2 linked regions of the Xenopus tropicalis genome follow. The protein of the gene in region 1 interacts with the protein of each later gene in a pairwise test. Links are inferred from orthologs where the notes say so. Each region holds a gene or a part of one and is shown in the gene's direction. Other genes may lie near its edges.

The links.
Region 2: the proteins of uba3 (region 1) and impa2 interact in binary tests that used the Homo sapiens proteins (3 or more experiments, as listed by UniProt). The two-hybrid records come from large-scale screens. The link is inferred for Xenopus tropicalis from reciprocal best matches to the Homo sapiens genes UBA3 and IMPA2.

What each region holds. Positions count from the first base shown.
Region 1 is NC_030680.2:141,994,057-141,997,716, forward strand, and holds part of uba3 (NEDD8-activating enzyme E1 catalytic subunit), read left to right. Parts: intron 1-2,693; coding exon 2,694-2,794; intron 2,795-3,559; coding exon 3,560-3,623; intron 3,624-3,660. UniProt on the Homo sapiens protein: Catalytic subunit of the dimeric UBA3-NAE1 E1 enzyme. E1 activates NEDD8 by first adenylating its C-terminal glycine residue with ATP, thereafter linking this residue to the side chain of the catalytic cysteine, yielding a NEDD8-UBA3 thioester and free AMP.
Region 2 is NC_030682.2:103,845,838-103,849,497, reverse strand, and holds part of impa2 (inositol monophosphatase 2), read left to right. Parts: intron 1-1,480; coding exon 1,481-1,614; intron 1,615-3,520; coding exon 3,521-3,625; intron 3,626-3,660. UniProt on the Homo sapiens protein: Phosphatase that can use myo-inositol monophosphates, myo-inositol 1,4-diphosphate, scyllo-inositol-1,4-diphosphate, glucose-1-phosphate, beta-glycerophosphate and 2'-AMP as substrates in vitro.

The sequences.
Region 1 (3,660 bases):
GTAGTGTTTTTCCAGGGCTTTACGTGTCCTTTATGTCTTGCCCTACTAGCAGCAGGAAGCTTTTTTTGGGGGGGAAAAATATTTTTTTATTTTATACAGGTTGGGATCCATTATGCAGAAAGGCCATCTCTCATAGACTTCGTTATAAGCAAATAATTCTAATTTTTAAAAATCATTTCCTTTTCTCTGTAATAATAAAACAGTACCTGTACTTGATCCCAACTAAGATATAATTACCCCTTATTGGGGCAGAACAGTCCTATTGGGTTTATTTAATGGTTAAATGATTCCCTTTTCTCTGTAATAATAAAACAGTACCTGTACTTGATCCCAACTAAGATATAATTACCCCTTATTGGGGCAGAACAGCCCTATTGGGTTTATTTCATGGTTAAATGATTCACTTTTCTCTGTAATAATAAAACAGTACCTGTACTTGATCCCAACTAAGATATAATTACCCCTTATTGGGGCAGAACAGCCCTATTGGGTTTATTTAATGGTTAAATGATTCACTTTTCTCTGTAATAATAAAACAGTACCTGTACTTGATCCCAACTAAGATATAATTACCCCTTATTGGGGGCAGAACAGCCCTATTGGGTTTATTTAATTTACATTATTATTACATTAACATTTATTTATAAAGCGCCAACATATCCTGCAGCGCTGTACCCTAAGTGGGTTTCATACATTGGACATACAGAGTAACATATAAAGCAATCAATAACCGATACAAGAGGTGAAGAGAGCCCTGCCCAAAAGAGCTTACAATTTAATGGTTAAATAATTCCCTTTTATCTGTAATAATAAAACAGTACCTGTACTTGATCCCAACTAAGATATAATTACCCCTTATTGGGGGCAGAACAGCCCTATTGGGTTTATTTAATGGTTAAATGATTCCCTTTTCTCTGTAATAATAAAACAGTACCTGTACTTGATCCCAACTAAGATATAATTACCCCTTATTGGGGCAGAACAGCCCTATTGGGTTTATTTAATGGTTAAATGATTCCCTTTTCTCTGTAATAATAAAACAGTACCTGTACTTGATCCCAACTAAGATATAATTACCCCTTATTGGGGCAGAACAGCCCTATTGGGTTTATTTAATGGTTAAATGATTCCCTTTTCTCTGTAATCATAAAACAGTACCTGTACTTGATCCCAACTAAGATATAATTACCCCTTATTGGGGCAGAACAGCCCTATTGGGTTTATTTAATGGTTAAATGATTCCCTTTTCTCTGTAATAATAAAACAGTACCTGTACTAGATCCCAACTAAGATATAATTACCCCTTATTGGGGGCAGAACAGCCCTATTGGGTTTATTTAATGGTTAAATGATTCCCTTTTCTCTGTAATAATAAAACAGTACCTGTACTTGATCCCAACTAAGATATAATTACCCCTTATTAGGGGCAGAACAGCCCTATTGGGTTTATTTAATTTACATTATTATTACATTAACATTTATTTATAAAGCGCCAACATATCCCGCAGAGCTGTACAATAAGTGGGTTTCATACATTGGACATACAGAGTAACATATAAAAGCAATCAATAACCGATACAAGAGGTGAAGAGGGCCCTGCCCAAAAGAGCTTACAATTTAATGGTTAAATGATTTCCTTTTCTCTGTAATAATAAAACAGTACCTGTATTTGATCCCAACTAAGATATAATTACCCCTTATTGGGGCAGAACAGCCCTATTGGGTTTATTTAATGGTTAAATGATTTCCTTTTCTCTGTAATAATAAAACAGTACCTGTATTTGATCCCAACTAAGATATAATTACCCCTTATTGGGGGCAGAACAGCCCTATTGGGTTTATTTAATGGTTAAATGGTTCCCTTTTCTCTGTAATAATAAAACAGCACCTGTACTTGATCCCAACTAAAATATAATTACCCCTTATTGGGGGCAGAACAGCCCTATTGGGTTTATTTAATGTTTAAATTATTTTTTAGTAGACTTAAGTTATGGAGAAACATTCTGGAAAACAGGTCCAATACGTGTATGGGGCCTGTTATCTGTAAACCCATTATCCAGAAAGTTCAGAATAACGGAAAGGCCATTTCGAATGTGACAAATTATAACAACTTCTCCCCAGCTTACAAGCAGCATGCAGGAACTACATAACCCACAATGCATTGCACTGGGATGTTCCTTTCCTTATTGACATCACGTGTGCAGCAGGGAATTGTGGGATTGGGAGGAGGCGGGCTGAAGGCAGGCTGAGGGCAGGCGACTACTGTTACAGTTTATTTGAGTCACAAATTAGCCAGCCAGACCAGCAGGGGAACAGGGGGCGGGGCTTAGGGAACTGTTCCAAACCAGATTATCACATTACCAATCATGAAAAGGCTGCATATTTTACAATTGCTTTATTTTGCAAAGGTGCTTGAAATTATGTTTACTTTACACAAAGCTTAAGTTGTGTTTGGGTGGAGTTCCCCTTTAAGGATTGCAGAAAGCCGCCTTCTCCTGTAGCCACCTCCAGTTGAAACATGGTCGCGGACAGGAATTATTCAGCAGTCAGTGATCCCCATCTGCCATCATATAAAATAACGCACTTTTCCAGGACACGTAGTTCCTTTCATTTAGCAGATAAGGGTGAAGTTCTGCGTCACAGCAGCAGTCTAAACGGATTCAACTATAAACATTTCTTTTCTTGTTTGACAGGAAAATTGTCCCGCTTGCAGCCAACTCCCACAGAACATCCAGTTTCCTTCTTCAGCCAAATTGCAGGAGGTGCTGGATTATTTGACAAATGACACATCACTGTAAGTGCTTGATCATCCTTGTTCACCTTTAAATTAACTGTTCCATGACACAAAGAGTAACATTCTGACATCATTTCCAGTTTGTTTTCATTTTTTATTATTTGTGGTTTTTTGAGCTATCTTTTTATTCAGCAGCTGTCTGGTTGCTAGGGTCTAAATTACCCTAGCAACCAGGCATTGGTTGGAATGAGAGGATGAAATATAAATAGTATAGGGCCTGAATAGAAAAATGAGCAATAAAAAGTAGCAATAACAATAAAACTGTAGGCTTATAGTGTCCTTGTTATTTTAGATGTTGGGGTCAGTGACCCCCATTTGAAACATGGAAAGAGTCAGAAACTTTAAAGAAGAAAAAAATAAAGCCCAATTAAAGAGTTGCCTAGAATTAGCCATTCTACTTAACTGGTACTCTAAGACAATTTGCAATTTATTATATTTGTTTTTTAATTCTGCCGCTCCCAGGCTTAGAATTTAGACTGCTCTTTGGTTGCTAGGCTTTAGGTATCCTAGCAACTATGTTGTTTGGAAGCTACAATTGAAAGTAAAAAGAAGAGTGCCTGAATAAAAAGATAAGCAACAAATGTAATGTAGGGTGGATGATAATAAAATCTGTTCATATAGAATAGGCTAATCTATAATGTTCAAGAAGTTATGGTAAAGGTCAACTTTGCCTTTAGGAAGCATAGATAGATAGATAGATACTGGGTTATTTTGCTTTCTAAATATAATTGGCTTCCCTTATGTCTCTTATTGTGTTTGATGCAGACAGATGAAATCTCCTGCTATTACTGCAACACTGGATGGGAAAAATAAAACCCTTTATTTACAGGTAAGCAGGAATGTGCCTTATCTGCAGTCTGTAATGT
Region 2 (3,660 bases), on another chromosome or scaffold:
CGACTTTTTCATCGCCGTCACGATTTTTCGTATTTGTCACGACTTTTTCGTTGCCGCCGCGACTTTATCGTATTTTGCGCGTCTTTTTCGTCGCCGTCGCATTTTTTTCGTATTGAGCGATAGTAAACGGCGGAAGAACCAATACAATTTTTTCACAAAAATACTGATCATTACGAAAAAACACATTCTGACACCTTCGGACCGTTCGTGGATTAGTAAATATGCCCCATAGAGTTGCCAGTCATTAATGCAGCATTGGTTCCCGCACAATCCTTTAATAGGCTGGAATACAGTTTAAATTTGTATTCCAGCCTATGAACAATCGTAATACCCACTGCCTAGTGTGACTGCCAGAAGCCCCCTTCTCTCCATGTAGCTGGCACACATTTACACAGGGTAAGTGCGGCTAGGCTGGGGGAGACATAGGGTCAATCTTTAAACCAGCATAGAGTTGTATTATTAGTAATATGCGTTCCTTACCGTTATAGGAACATGTCCGTATCGCCTTAAGTTGGGTTGAAAAAAGACTAAAGATCAACCCCTCCAAATGAGCCCCAATGCACATATAATATATATATATATATATATATATATATATATATATATATATATATATATATATATATAATATATATCTATATCTCTGTACACAAAATATCATTGCTACCTGCATTGCATCCAGTCCATGCATAGAATAAAAACAATATATTAGTGCTCTGCAGTTGGAGTCCCCTGGGTGTGAGGTAGGGCCTCAGACCTACCAAGAAGCTTCTTTAAATGTGAGCACTAACCTGTTTAGGGCTCTGGCACACGGGGAGATTAGTCGCCCGCGGCAAAAGTCCCTGTTCGCGGGCGACTAATCTCCGCAAGTTGCCTACCCCTGCCAATATTATACATATACTCGCGAGTCTTTTTCAGCGATTTGCGCGAAATCGCGCCGCCGCGTCTACCATCCCGCCGGCGACTTACATGTTCGCCGGTGGGATGGTAGACGCGGCGGCGCGATTTCGCGCAAATCGCTGAAAAAGACTCGCGAGTATATGTATAATAATGTATATTTTGGATATTTGACCTACCTAGGTTCTAGTGACACAAACCATATTCACGGATTAATGCTGCCCCTTTAACTAAAATTATGTTACTAAAGCAAAAGTCTTTACTGTATCACTGTAATGCAAAGTTTGCTTCCTAAGTGCCTGTGTGTCCTTGCATCATTTCAGTACTAGTCAGTATTATTTTGGTGGTTGGTGAAAGGTTCTATTTCATGCTGGCTTATTTCTGTAAACCCCTTTATAAATACAAACAAAGCACTGCACTGCATACACCCTGACACTTTTAAAACAGTGATCCTTGCAGGTAGCTCATTTAGCCCTTCCCTGTGCCTTCTCCTGCATTGCCTTGTTCCATGGCTTAACTTTGTGCCTGCCTTATTATTGTGTAATGAAGTAGTATAATGCTGGTGACTATGGCTTCTTCACAGGTCATAAAGAAAGCTCTAACTGAAGAAAAAAGGGTCTCAACCAAAACATCTGTGGTGGATCTAGTAACGGAGACTGATCACTTTGTGGAAGAGCTAATTATTTCAGCTCTAAGAGAGAAGTTTCCCTTACACAGGTATATTGCTATAATGTATTTTGCTGTTATGATATGGAATCTGTATCTGTCTTTATGGAGTATAATAAACAGTGGTTCTGCTGGCTATGAGTGATGCCCAACCTGCTTTCTTTTTACATTTGTCCTCTATTTTATGTTGGCAAAACATCAAAAATTGAAATATAATGTTTGCATATGAATTATTTAGTCCCTAAACATTTAATATTTCGTAGAGCCAGCAATAACCACTTTATATATTTAGAATAAGTATGTGCCTTCAAAGTATTGTATTGGTATTATCCTAGACCATTTGCAGTGGGGTGTGCTGAATAACACTATAATTTTAAATTAACTTGTATATACAGTACATACATACATACTATAATTATTTCTGGTTAATCGAACAAGTCTGTACCAGCATTGCATATGATTAATACCCATTCTCCCAGACAGATTTGCGCTAGGTTTTTCAGGTTACAAGAATGATGTTTGTGCACCTCAGTTTTCTTAGTGCACTAAATCCTTCATCAAAAGAAACACAGGGTTTCCTTTCTTCTTTTGTGCAAATATGTTCTTTGGTATCGGACTTCCTCTCTCAGTGCCAGAGTCTGGGCAGCTCTCCTCTCTCCATTCTCCTCCCCCCCCAATAAGAATTCACTTTCCCCTCCCATCAGAACAAATGGAGGTAGCTTTTAGGGCTGTTTACTCAGGTATGGTAAAGCTTTCTGCAGAATAAATATAGCGTTCTAGGTGGCACAAATGTGGCTAATCTATATCTCGCACAAAATCCTACTGTCCTCCACCTTCATCCTCCAAATCCCACAATTCCCTGTACAGGATATCAATAAGGAAAGGAACATCATAGTGCAATGCATTGTGGGTTATGTAGTTCCTGTATGCTGTTTGTAAACTGTTTTTACAATTTGTATCATCAATGTTTAGTCCCTCCTCCCCTGCCTGTATTTTAAATGATGCAGATTTCAGCATATAAAAATTCTATTCACACTTTTTGAAGAAACATATTACAGTGATAGGTATATTAGGGGTCTCTGTTGTTGTGTGGGGCTCTTTAACAATTTTTGCTGGAGTTCCCCTTTAAACCTAATCCCACCAAATTATCTGTTTTTGCCCCTTGATACATGAACCAAACCCAGACCTCTCTGCTATTCAAACTGCTGAGCCATGTATCTTTTAGGTTTCAAAGGCACCAGTTGGTGTAGGTGTGTTTGTCCTTCCTGTTCTATATTTATATCACCCACTTGTGAAAATGACGGGCTGTTTGTATGATTTTCTGTTTCAGTGGTTAGTACATCACTGTAAAAGGGTAAGGTTTGATTTACTGCAAACAAAGTGTAGCAGTTTATTTAAGTATTGCAACTGTAACATACTTTTCACAGCATGATTTATTTAAACTGAATAACCGTAAGGTGTCATTTAAATAATCACCATGGCTATGTGATAAATTTACAGGGAAGGGGGTAATAAATTAGGCCTTTATCTTTAGGTCACTTACCTTCATATCTTTAAGTATACATTTTCAAAGTATTTGAAGTACTGAAATATCCTAACATAACAAAGAAAATACAAACTGTTAATGTACATAAATATAAATGTGCATCATATACACCCAAAGTAATCTAAAGCATTAGTTCAAGGCCAGGTCCTGGACACACAATGTATACTTCCCACGTTTTCTGTCCAAATGTCAGATTTGAGAATGAACCTAAGGGCAAAACAGCAAATTGACCCAAAACCATTTCCATCTAAGAATTATTTTAATCTTGGGGTTTGTTTTCCTTTTCTTCTCTTAAAATGTGCAAGTAAAATTTTTCTTATCCAAACTTCTAAGAAGTTATATCCATTGTTTATCCGTTGCTGATACATCAGTTAATGCTTTCTGGATTAACAGCCTATTCTCCATGTGTAGGTTTATTGGAGAAGAATCTACGTCTGCAGGTTCTAAATGCGTGCTTACTGACAGCCCCACCTGGATTATTGATCCTATCGATGGAACATGTAACTTTGTACACAGGTATTTTTTCTTTGGAAATTTTGTCTAGGTTTTAA